3 linked regions of the Oryza sativa Japonica Group genome follow. The protein of the gene in region 2 interacts with the protein of the main gene of each other region in a pairwise test. Links are inferred from orthologs where the notes say so. Each region holds a gene or a part of one and is shown on either strand. Other genes may lie near its edges.

Region 1 (3,751 bases), on a different chromosome or scaffold from region 2:
ATTGCCTTAGGCCCAGGAATACAAAAGACACTGTGGGCTGGTTTGGTTTGAGGCCTAAATTAGGCTTACCAATATTTGGCAATTTCAATAGTGTTTAGTGTCTATTTGGTTTGAAGCCAAATTTTGGCATGCCTAAGAAAATAGGCCATTTCAATAGTGAACTTAGGCTATTTTGGCTTCAATCCAAACACAACTTTGCCTTACCAAAATTAGTCATGCCAAAACTTGCCAAAATTTGGCATTGACATTTTTCATTATAGAATCAGCCCTATCGCTTAAGGTTCCTGTTGAGTACGATCTTTTTTCGAACTTACAGGGGCGCTGCGACAGCTAAATAAAGCGAGCACTCGGCAACTTCAATCTCACCTCTACCCGCATTGAGGTCAAAACCATCTCTCGATCGGGGCTATACTACTGAGTCGAGTTTGAGGTAGTCCCTTTATGTTTGTACCTTAAAATGGAAAAGGGGCGTGGTGCCTTCTAGCGGGAGCTGTAACACCACTTGGTCCACAAACCAAACCAACCTTGTATACCCATTTTAATATCCCTATCATAAGGGTAATCATGTAAATTCCCCTATAACTAAACCCTAGAGGGTATGAGCCTATACTAGGACTATAAATAGCCCCCTAGGCCATGTAATGGGGTGATCCTAAAATATTTTTACCAATCAATATATTGTTTTACTATTCCAACAATTCATCGAGTTTACCATATCCTTCGACGTGAAACAGTTGTCATTCGACAATAGTATCCTTGAACCACAACACCAAATATCTTGACCCTTCAACTATTAAAACCGTTCCAATTTGACTTCCTTTGGTTTTAGAGGGCGGTTTCGCTGACGTTGCGTCTACATGGCAGCATTGACTTGGTCTATAACGTTGACGTGTCGCTTAGATGGTATTAGAGTTAAAAACATATATGTGGGATCCATTTATCATTCACACACTAAGAAAAAATTATTATGAGCCAACATATAGGACTCACATGTCATCCTCTCCTCACTCCTTGCACTCTCTCCCTTCTCTCTCCTTGCACTCTCTCCCTTCTCTCTATCTCGCTCTCTCCCCTTCGGCCGCATCGCCGCCTGGCGCCGAGCGGCACCATGCTGCCACCTGCATCGCCGCCTGCTGTCCGTCAGTGCCTCTCCTTCACCTCCCACCGCATCGCTGCCTGCCGCCGAGAGGCGCCCCTCATGAAGGGAGAGAGCGAGGAGGAAGAAACGGTGTGAAGGTTTATCTTTCTTCACTACTTGCACGATGATGACGATGTGGAGCTAAAATTAGAAGCCCATGAAGGCTCAACTGTTACAGCCCAGCCCATAAGAAACGGTAGCCCAACACCCAACTCAACCCCCTATCTTCCATTCTCTCTCCTCCCGAAAGTCCGAAACCTCCCTTCCTCGCTCGCTTCACACCCCCCCTCTCTCTCCCCCCCAAACCCTAGCTCCCGATTCAGATCTCGCCTCTCCCTCGCCGCCGCCGCCATGGCCACCGGCGGCAACCCCAACCCGAACTCCACGCCGACCCCTCAGCCGCGCCCGCCCCAGCCGCAGCAGCAGGGCGGCTCCCCGGCGACCCCGCTCGGCCACCTCCGCCCGCCTTCCCTCGCGGGCTCCCCCTTCCAGGGCCTCTTCCACACCCCGCCCCAGCACAACCCGGCCTTCCAGATCCACATGGGCGCCGCCGCCTCGCCGCAGAACCCGCTTATGGCCGCTGCCGCCGCCGCCGCCGCCGCGGCCTCCGCCAAGCGCCCTCCCCAGAAGCCCCCCGCGCGGCCCCCCGCCCCGGGCTCCTCCTCCTCCGGGGGCGGCGCCGCCGCCGCCGCCGCCGCGGCCGCGTCCGCGGCCGCGGCGTACAAGGCCGCTGCCGCCGCGGCCGCCGTGGGGGCGAACTCCGCCGGCGGCGTCGACCTCACCCCGGCCGCCGCGCGGCGCAACAAGAAGCGGAAGCTCCCCGAGAAGCAGCTCCCCGACCGCGTCGCCGCGCTGCTCCCGGAGTCGGCACTGTACACTCAGCTGCTCGAGTTCGAGTCCCGCGTCGACGCCGCGCTGCACCGCAAGAAGGTGGACATCCAGGAGGCGCTCAAGTCACCCCCCGCGCTGCAGCGCACGCTCCGCATCTACGTGTTCAACACCTTCGCCAACCAGGCGCCGCGCACCATCCCGCCGCCCAAGAACGCCGAGCCGCCCACCTGGTCGCTCAAGATCATCGGCCGCGTGCTCGAGGACGGCGCCGAGCTGGACCCCGCCAGCGTCGTGCCCAAGCACAACCCTGTGTACCCCAAGTTCTCGTCCTTCTTCAAGAGGGTGACGATTGCGCTCGACCCGTCGCTGTACCCGGAGAACCCGCTGATCATTTGGGAGAATGCGCGGTCGGCCGCCCCACAGGAAGGGTTCGAGGTGAAGAGGAAAGGGGATAAGGAGTTCTCCGCGAATATCCGGCTGGAGATGAACTATAACCCTGAGAAGTTCAAGCTCTCGCAGCCTCTGATGGAGGTGCTCGGGGTTGAGGTGGACACTCGTTCGAGGGTGATTGCTGCCCTCTGGCAGTACATCAAAGCGAAGAAGCTGCAGAATCCAACCGATCCTTCGTTCTTTATGTGTGATCCACAGTTGAAGAAGGTCTTTGGGGAGGATAAGCTGAGGTTTGCGATGCTATCGCAGAAGATATCACAGCATCTCTCTCCTCCGCCGCCCATCAACTTGGAGCATAAGATTAAGCTCTCTGGGAATGGCGCGCATGCGAGTGCTTGCTATGATGTGATTGTGGATGTTCCTTTCCCTCTGCAGAAGGAGATGTCTGCATTTCTTGCCAACACTGAGAAGCACAAGGACATTGAGGCATGTGATGAGGTGATATCTGCTTCGATCAAGAAGATCCATGAGCACCGCAGGAGGAGGGCATTCTTCCTTGGTTTCAGCCAGTCCCCAGTGGAGTTCATCAATGCACTGATAGCGTCTCAGAGTAAAGATTTGAAGCTGATCGCAGGAGAAGCAAATAGGAATATTGAAAGAGAAAGACGTGCAGACTTCTATAATCAACCATGGTAAGCTCAAGCAAATCTTAAGGCTTTACTCATTGTACTTCCTGCTTGAAACCATATATCAATGTGCTGACTAATAAATTGTTTTCCATTCCACAACGAAACAGGGTTGAGGATGCTGTCATAAGATACCTGAACCGCAAACCGGCTAGCGGTAATGAGGGCCCAGGCGGTGGTGCTGGTGGTTCATGAGGAAAGGGGTTGGTATTACTGTAGTGCCATTTTGGTGTAGAAACAAGCTATCTGTTATGTACTAGTAAAAATTCAGATATGTTAGCGACAACCGATTTGTTTGCTGCTGTGAATGATCTTGGCAGGTGTACCTCCATTGTCTGTCCAAACGAGTTATCTACTTGTATGATTATGTGATAAGTGATCCCTAACTACGGTGGCAGTATGAATTGTCATGCTAATTGCTAAATGCTGAAGGGAAAATGCTCTGTTCTAGTTACCTAACATATAGGTATCATATGTGGGCACAAGTTTTCTCTGTATGATGCTGTGTGTGGCTTATCATTTGTCCCACTGGGGAGGTTGTGGAGGGGGACCTGAGACTCCGAGAAAGCTGTATCTTTTGTATTTGAACATGCTTATTGGAGGGAAAAGGAAATGGAAAGAGTCCCTATCTTTAAGTGCCTGGAGGATCAAGTCTCTTTTGGGCCAGCAGCATATGTTCTCTCTTTTGCTGGATCATCGTGCCTGT
Region 2 (3,658 bases):
AAGTTTTGGAAAAGATGAAAGATAGGCTCCTCTCCCAATCCATCACCATCCCACTTATCAGTTTTGAGAACAACATCGGTCTAGTAGCAACTGCTCCTGAACCCACAGGAGGAAGCAAAAGCATGTCCATGCATCAGCAACAAAAGAGTAAAAATCAAAACAAAGCAAAGCAAGCTCGAACCTACATCGATCAACTACACCTAGCGCAACGCAACAGCCAACAGACACAGAGGCTTGCTAAGCTAAGCTAAAGCTTGCCATCGTGTTGCTGCATTCTCACAAGCCTAATTCTAAGAAGCTCCGAGTGAATTCTTGAAACAAAAACCAATGACATGCGCAGCAGCAGAAGAGATCGATGGAAAACCAACCAACCAACCAACCGATATGTAGTAGCATCAGTAGTAGTGCACTTGTGCTACCTCCAAACTTTGCTCCTCCCGAATGCAATCGACAATTCCTGCATGTCAAGAACACCAAAACCAGCAGCACAAGATTGATCAGCTAACTAACACGAGAAAAATTCTGAACTAATGCAGGTTAGCCATGAGAATTCTCGGTTTTTTTTTCTCACCGTGATGGAAGTGGAGGAGCTAGCTGATAGTCTGGTACATGGTGTGGTGTTTGCTCATGGTGGATTGGTGGTGGTGAAGTCATCTGCTCGCCACTGCTGCGGTCAGTGGTGAGAAGCCGAGGAGACAGACGACGGCGGCGGCGGCTTGTCGCCATTGCCGCCGCCGCCGCCGTTGTGCTCCTCGTCGCCCTGTATCCTCGCGGGGAGGCGGAAGCCGGAGAAGCCGATGCCGGGAGCGGCAAAACCGATGGCCGCCGACACGGAGGGGCTCAGCCCTCCTTGGTGGTGGCTCATCTGGTTGTCGGCTTCGACGGTCTCCGGCCATCCTCGCTCGGAGGGCTGGTTACTGGACTGAAGGGGTCCCCTCTGGAAGAAGAACTGGCTCTGGTGGCCACCCAGCGCCGCAGCCGCCGCCTGCATATGCGCCGCTTGCTGCGACACGTTGAACAGGTAGGCGGCGCCGCCGCCGCCGCCGGGGTCGGGCACGTTCCACGGCAGCATGCGCTGGTTCTGCGCCTGCTGCTCGGTGGCCCACATGGCTCCGCCGCCGAACGAGTAATTGGCGGCGCCGGAGAAGAGCGCCTGCTGCGTGGTGCCATTGCCGCCGCCGCCGCCGCCGCCATGGCGATGTTGCTGGTGGTGGAACATGGGGTCTGGTAAGGACTGCAGCGACAGCCGGAGCTCCTGGCTCTGGCTGCCGGTGCGGGACAGGAGGTCAGGCGTGTAGCTCTGGAAACCCATGGCCGACGACTGCGCCGCCGTGGTGGACGACGATGCCTCCCCGCCTGCGGTGCCACCCATGGGGAAGAAGGACTTGATCGTGTCGGCTATGGCGTCCGAGTCGAGCGACGGCGGGAGGAAGCTGGTCCCGCCGCTGCCCCCGCCGGCGAAGTCGAAGGCGGTGTGCGCGACGGTGATGGCCTGCGCCTGGTCGTCGGAGTTCTCGGCGGAGTCGGGGTGGGTCGAGGAGGACGGCGGCGCGGCGGCATTGCCCGCGCCTGCGCCGCCGGCAGTGGGCTGCCACGCCGGCAGCACGTCGAGCTTGTCGATGGCGTCCTTGGCGTTCTTGATGAGCCAGTCCACCGCCTTGCTCGGGCGGTCGTAGCCCAGCCGGTCCTGCACGTCGTAGAACTGGATGGCGGTGTGCGCCGACAGCCGCACGCGGCGGTCGCGCGGCCCGCGCGCCGTGCAGACCTTGCTGTGCCGGTCCTTCCGCCCTGTCGACCGCACAATGTGCCCGCCCTGCACCGCCACGATCTCCCCGCCGCCGCCGCCGCCTCCGCCCCTCGACCGTGGAGTTGTCGTCGCGGGGACAATCTCACCTCCACCTCCACGACCCCGAGTGTGGGACGCGGCGGGGGGCTGTGGCTGCGCCGTGAACTGATGCAGGTGGTGGTGGTGGCCGACGCCACCGAAGGAGAGGAGCTGAGGCTGGAAGCCGTGTTGGTGGTGGTGGGAGTGGCCGCCGGCGTCGCCCATGGGCGAGAGAAGGGCATACTCGGCGGAGGAGCCCGACAGCTGCCTCACGGACGCCGGCTGGAGGTGGAAGACGGGAACAGGCGGCGGTTCTTGGTCCTGCTGCACACCCTGGTGGTGGTGGAGCTGGAGAAGCCGGTGGTGGTCGTGCTGCTGCTGCTGCTGCTCATCTGCCTCCTCCTGTCCCCCGCTTCCTCCTCCTCCTACGCCGCCGCCGTCGCCGCCGTGGGTGACCCGGTGGTGGTGGTGCCTCGGATCCAGATCCCCCGCCGCCTTCTTCCCCGCCGCTACTGTTGCTGCTCCAATGCGCGTCCATCCACCTCGCCGGATCCCATAACTAGGTCGACAAGAAACACAAAAACCATCAAAAGAATCAACAAGAAGAAGGCCCCGGAGGAGGAGGAGGCTGCAAGAAGAAGAGGTGGTGGCCAGGGAGGGACTGACCCAGGAGAGGAGTGGGGGACTAAACTAGACGCAATCCCATGGATTGGACATCACATTTTAACAGGGGGGACGGCCAGCCAAAGCTTTTGCTCCTCTCTCACTCTCTTGTTGGGTTTGTGTGGGAAGCTTGGTGAGCAGGAGGCAGAAGGGAGGCAAGAAGACAGGATGATAAGAGTAGGATTTGTGCTTTAGTGAGGAGAGAGAGAGATAGAGATTTTTGCTTCACACTGCTGCTGCTGATGCTGGCTGCTGCTTTGTGTGTGAGTGTGTGTATCAGAAGCAGATGGAGCTTACCTTAGCTTGGCTGGGGCTGCAGGAGGCTGGAGCCCAAGTGATGAAGAGAGGTGGTGATTTGGGAATTGGGAAGGGATGGATGATGCTGGGGGATTGTGGGTTATGCATGCGTGGATGATTAGGACATCTGTTGTATTATTAAAAAACAGTAGACAACGATCGAATCGCGATGAAACTCGAACACACACACGTGTACGTGCCTTTGGGAAAAAAAATAAAAACCGGAGGCACACACCCTAGTCTCCATGGATAAGGAATTAAGCGCATCTCGATAGCTTTATGGTAATATATAGCAATTTTAACTATGTTTATATATACGTTCGTGTATATGTAACCGCTAGTATCTACTCGCACAATTGTGGAGTGATCTACTTAGCCGATTTTTCTTTTTTGTTGTACAGTAGACATGTTTGTCATGACATGAATATCTATGCTCTTCAGAAGCTAACTTGTGGTATTCTTAGAGAGTGCTTGTACTATAATTCTTGTAGTTGGGCAGTTGCATAGGCAAGTAAGATGGCAACTGGAGCTTTTTCAAGGGTATATGCCAATGGTTAATGATTTTCCTTTTTGGAAAGTCGAGAGTTGCAATATTAGTTTCAAATGTGAGACCTTTCCCCTGAGATACTTGTTTATAGATTGATGGTGTGTTTTATTTGTAGCCCCACCTTGCTAAAAGAGGGTTTTATGTGGCGTCATTGTCCAAACTTGCCCCAAGTTTGATCCATTGCATGGAAATAAGATCAAGCTATTTTTAGTTCATTTGATGCCAAAAACATAACGGGTCGAGGGACCGAGATGGTGCCCATAGATTTGTTCAAAAAAGATAGAAGGAAACACCCCTCATTGGCACATCTACATACAGGATAGTGT
Region 3 (3,751 bases), on a different chromosome or scaffold from region 2:
TCTGGATTTTGTCGTTTTGAGTTTTTAATAGATTCGGGTTGTGACTCCATGCGAAAATTACCCTAGAGAGGCCAATCAGTAGTAGCTGTATTTTACTGCCAATTGGGCGTTCTCTAAAACTATAAATAGGTAGTTGGAAGCAATTGGCAGGGATAGGTTAGGCCTGCTGATTTGCGACATATTTGTTGTGTTTTTATCCCAATTCCTATCAGCGTTGATGGCTGGCACTAAAGCGACATTTTAGTCTTGGAGACCAAACATCGAGACATTGAAAACTACACCCTCGTTCCTTCCTCTCTTTTTTCTCTTTGGCCTTTTATGCTTTTTTATAATCTTTGTGTGCGCATTCTAGATCATGTTTAAACCTATCAAAATTAGATGTATAGGACGCATGCCTCTAGAAGTATCCATTCTAGTGTTCTGGATATAAAGTTTGACTCCGACATCTCCGACACAATGGCGATTTAACCCTGGATTGTGCAAACAGTATACCAGATGGTCAAACAGGGTACAGGGATATAGTGCAATATACCATGTAGTAGAAAAGAAACATTTGAGCAATGGAGTACCCATGGTGCTACAAGTATCGAGTGCTACAACTACCCAGAGGTCAACGAAGTTCAATAGAACAAATGGCCAACCACTTCAGCAGCAGCCCATAGGGGCCAAAATGTTAGGATCGCATCAGGGATTCTAAATCAGGCCCTGGCGCTGCAGATCAGTGTAGGTCTTCTTGTTGTAGATATTTCCCTCCTGATCTTCGTACTCTTCTTCTAGGTCTGGCCGCCACTTGTTCAGCCCTTGTCGTTGTTGAATTTTCTCCCAGAGTTCTTTTGCCTCCTGAAAACAGAAATAAGAGGTGTCAATTGCCCCTTCCATTACCAATTTACCACATTCGCAGCAACAGTAATTTCTGAGAACATGTATAAAAACAGCCAATATGGGAAGATTAAGCAAAGTACTCATTTCTCTCAAATTTCTGAGAGAACAAATTAAGCTATTCAGTGGATGTACAGGTAGCATAAAGTGATGATTTACCTGGATGGATGTGATTTCATTGAAGTTCTTAGTATTAGGAATTCCAAGACAGCGCATCCCGTGCTGATGGCGCCACTCCTTGAAATGCCGCTCATAAGCCCGTCGCCCCCAGTAGCTGTGGTTTCCACATATCTCACATTTGAATTCCTGACAAAAAAATCATAGCAATTAAGATATGTTAACAATTTAAAATCATATGTAAATATCTAGAACTGTATGGGAAAATGATGCCACCAATGCTGAAGCTCAGGGTATTATTGAAAAATGAATAAAAATACAAAAAATAAATGGAGCATGTGAGAATGCAAATACCATTTGTAGTCTATAGAAATTAGCATTCTGTTTTGGCAAAACAGGAATTTTGCAGCTCTAAACATTGGTAATACTAAGATATGATTTAGCAAAACAGCCATGAACTAAATAATCTTTAGATATAAACCAATGAGATATTTACCTGACCAAGACCATGGAGCTTATATAGCCAATAGGGTATAGGTTTGCCGTCCCAACCCATCGGCAACTTAAGAGGATTGTAGATTTGTTGGTCTTCATCATCACTTTCACTATCAGCTTGCACTTCTTCCTATAGAAAAAAATACAAAGGACAAAAGGTTCAGTACTTTGAGTAGAATATTATTATTTTACTTCTGTGAAGTACGGAGAAGAAAATAGAGGAAAAGTAGAACCAAGTTGTGAACTCTTGGACAAAATTAGAAGCGAAGTATCACACTAATAACTAAAATTCTAACTAAACATATCTTTACTCCCTCTGTTAAAAAATGTATGACCCAACATGACCTTTGACCTTTATTCTACTATCAGGGCCTTTTGCAGATCAGAAAACAGAATTTAAGAGGGCTGCATGCAGATTACCTCTTCTCGTTCTGCTTCCATTTCTTCATATGTGAGAGTCAGCTTCTTCTCTGCATTTTCCTTTGTCCGTACAATGATCTGCATAAATAGCATAAGATATATCAAAACATGAGCACAGGTTAACTTCATTATGGACATAAAAATGGTGTATTAAAAATATAGGCACACATTAAATATGGGATATCATGATATCAGCAAACACAGCAATTACAAGTGTTAACCTTGCTATATATTCTTGGTAGTAAGGAACAAAACAGAGTACTTTTTAACTTCTCCTACATGTAATTTAATATGTTTGTTAATTATCTTGTGCACAAAATCTAAGGTTTTCATGACTGCCTAGCAGAACAAGCATCTTGTGAAAAGTTGATGCTCCTGATGCATACTCAGGTGGTTTTGCTTTGCTATTCGTGTATTCCATGCTTAAGTGCCTAGATAACCGTTTTTGTGCCTTTTACAGCACTGGTTATGCAGTACACCACACATGAGAGTGAAATACCATGCTATGGGTGTGTTCGGATGCCCCTTTTCCCAAATCCTCTCCCTCGTTTTCCGCGCGCACGCTTTTCAAACGGCTAAACGGTGTGTTTTTTGCAAAAAGTTTCTATATGAAAGTTGCTTTAAAAAAAATCAAATTAATCCATTTTTTTAAAAAAAAATAGCTAATACTTAATTAATCACACGCTAATGGACCGCTCCGTTTTCCATGCAGAGGGATCCGGTTGGGATCCAGGAATAGCGAACACACCCTATATCAGACTACTAGACTTCTAGCCAATCAAGATAAGAAAGCATCCTGAAGATCTAACAAATTCAAAGGATCATACTATACAGCATGGATTAATAAATCCCAGTAGGTTACACTTATCAAAGCCGAAGTAGAATATATAAAGATTGACTACACAAGTACTCCCTCCGTCCCATAAAAAACCAACCTAGTACCTGATGATGTTGACACATCCTAGTACTACGAATCTGGACAGATATATGTCCAGATTCATAGTACTAGGATATGTCAAAGTCAGGTACTAGGTTGATATTTTGTGGGACAGAGGGAGTAAAAGAGAAGCATGTCATTAGATAATGCAGCTATACAAGTCCATATCAAAGGAAAGATATATACAGCCACACATAGAGCAAGGCAAAGCTGACCTCATCTAGTAGCTCACAAAGGCGCCTCATCTTTACTTCCATTAAAGCAATTTCCTTCTTCAAATTATCCTTGAAATTGTTACCATTAGAAGTAGCATTGGAGACAGAACTGTGTGAACCTTTGGCAAAATGCTTACGATCCAATTGTTCCAAGGGTGTATGCTGCAAGATATAATCATCGACAAGTTCAGAATATTTGGTAAATATTTAAAAAAAGATGAGCTGAATATCCAGGTTTAAAAGTACATTAATTACCTTCAACAAGAAAAGTCGCTCAGCACGCTGTTGAACAGTACCACCACTTTTTAATCCACGAGCAGCTAAAGCCTGGCAAAAACCAAAACCAATCAATAGGGTACAAAAGCCCAACGAAAGTTGAATAATAGGACAGGAAAAAAAAGGTAATAATAACAACGTATTGCAAGTCATACCTCTTTCAACTTTTCTGGGCCCAGCTCAACAAGCTCTTCAACAGTGGTATAGTAATCAAGGTCTATTACTGACTCTTGTGCAGATTCTTTCTCTGGGTCCTTGCTCTCCCATCCAGGCACTTCACCATTGATCCACTGTTCTTCAAACTCGCTTTCCAACTGAACAAAGTGTACTGCTTGTTAGTTTTTACTTGTTGTCTTGTTATTGTGTGAAATGCCTAACTTACATAGGAATGAAGTGTCTACGTGAACATAAA

Evidence for each region.
Region 1: the proteins of transcription factor PCF5 (region 2) and SWI/SNF complex component SNF12 homolog interact in binary tests that used the Arabidopsis thaliana proteins (3 or more experiments, as listed by UniProt). The link is inferred for Oryza sativa Japonica Group from reciprocal best matches to the Arabidopsis thaliana genes TCP4 and CHC1.
Region 3: the proteins of transcription factor PCF5 (region 2) and splicing factor SF3a60 homolog interact in binary tests that used the Arabidopsis thaliana proteins (3 or more experiments, as listed by UniProt). The link is inferred for Oryza sativa Japonica Group from reciprocal best matches to the Arabidopsis thaliana genes TCP4 and ATO.

Annotation. Positions count from the first base shown.
Region 1 is NC_089038.1:19,088,783-19,092,533, forward strand, and holds SWI/SNF complex component SNF12 homolog, read left to right. Parts: upstream 1-1,440; 5' UTR 1,441-1,489; coding exon 1,490-3,051; intron 3,052-3,155; coding exon 3,156-3,240; 3' UTR 3,241-3,504; downstream 3,505-3,751. UniProt on the Arabidopsis thaliana protein: Involved in transcriptional activation and repression of select genes by chromatin remodeling (alteration of DNA-nucleosome topology).
Region 2 is NC_089035.1:6,231,357-6,235,014, forward strand, and holds transcription factor PCF5, read right to left. Parts: upstream 2,826-3,658; 5' UTR 2,492-2,825; intron 2,485-2,491; exon of another isoform or gene 2,385-2,484; 5' UTR 2,051-2,384; coding exon 674-2,050; 3' UTR 572-673; intron 458-571; 3' UTR 4-457; downstream 1-3. UniProt on the Arabidopsis thaliana protein: Transcription factor playing a pivotal role in the control of morphogenesis of shoot organs by negatively regulating the expression of boundary-specific genes such as CUC genes, probably through the induction of miRNA (e.g. miR164).
Region 3 is NC_089037.1:29,917,017-29,920,767, forward strand, and holds the end of splicing factor SF3a60 homolog, read right to left. Parts: intron 3,654-3,751; coding exon 3,495-3,653; intron 3,391-3,494; coding exon 3,319-3,390; intron 3,226-3,318; coding exon 3,064-3,225; intron 1,990-3,063; coding exon 1,912-1,989; intron 1,622-1,911; coding exon 1,493-1,621; intron 1,186-1,492; coding exon 1,039-1,185; intron 841-1,038; coding exon 694-840; 3' UTR 448-693; downstream 1-447. UniProt on the Arabidopsis thaliana protein: Splicing factor homolog to SF3a60 that may be involved in pre-spliceosome formation. Is necessary for gametic cell fate determination.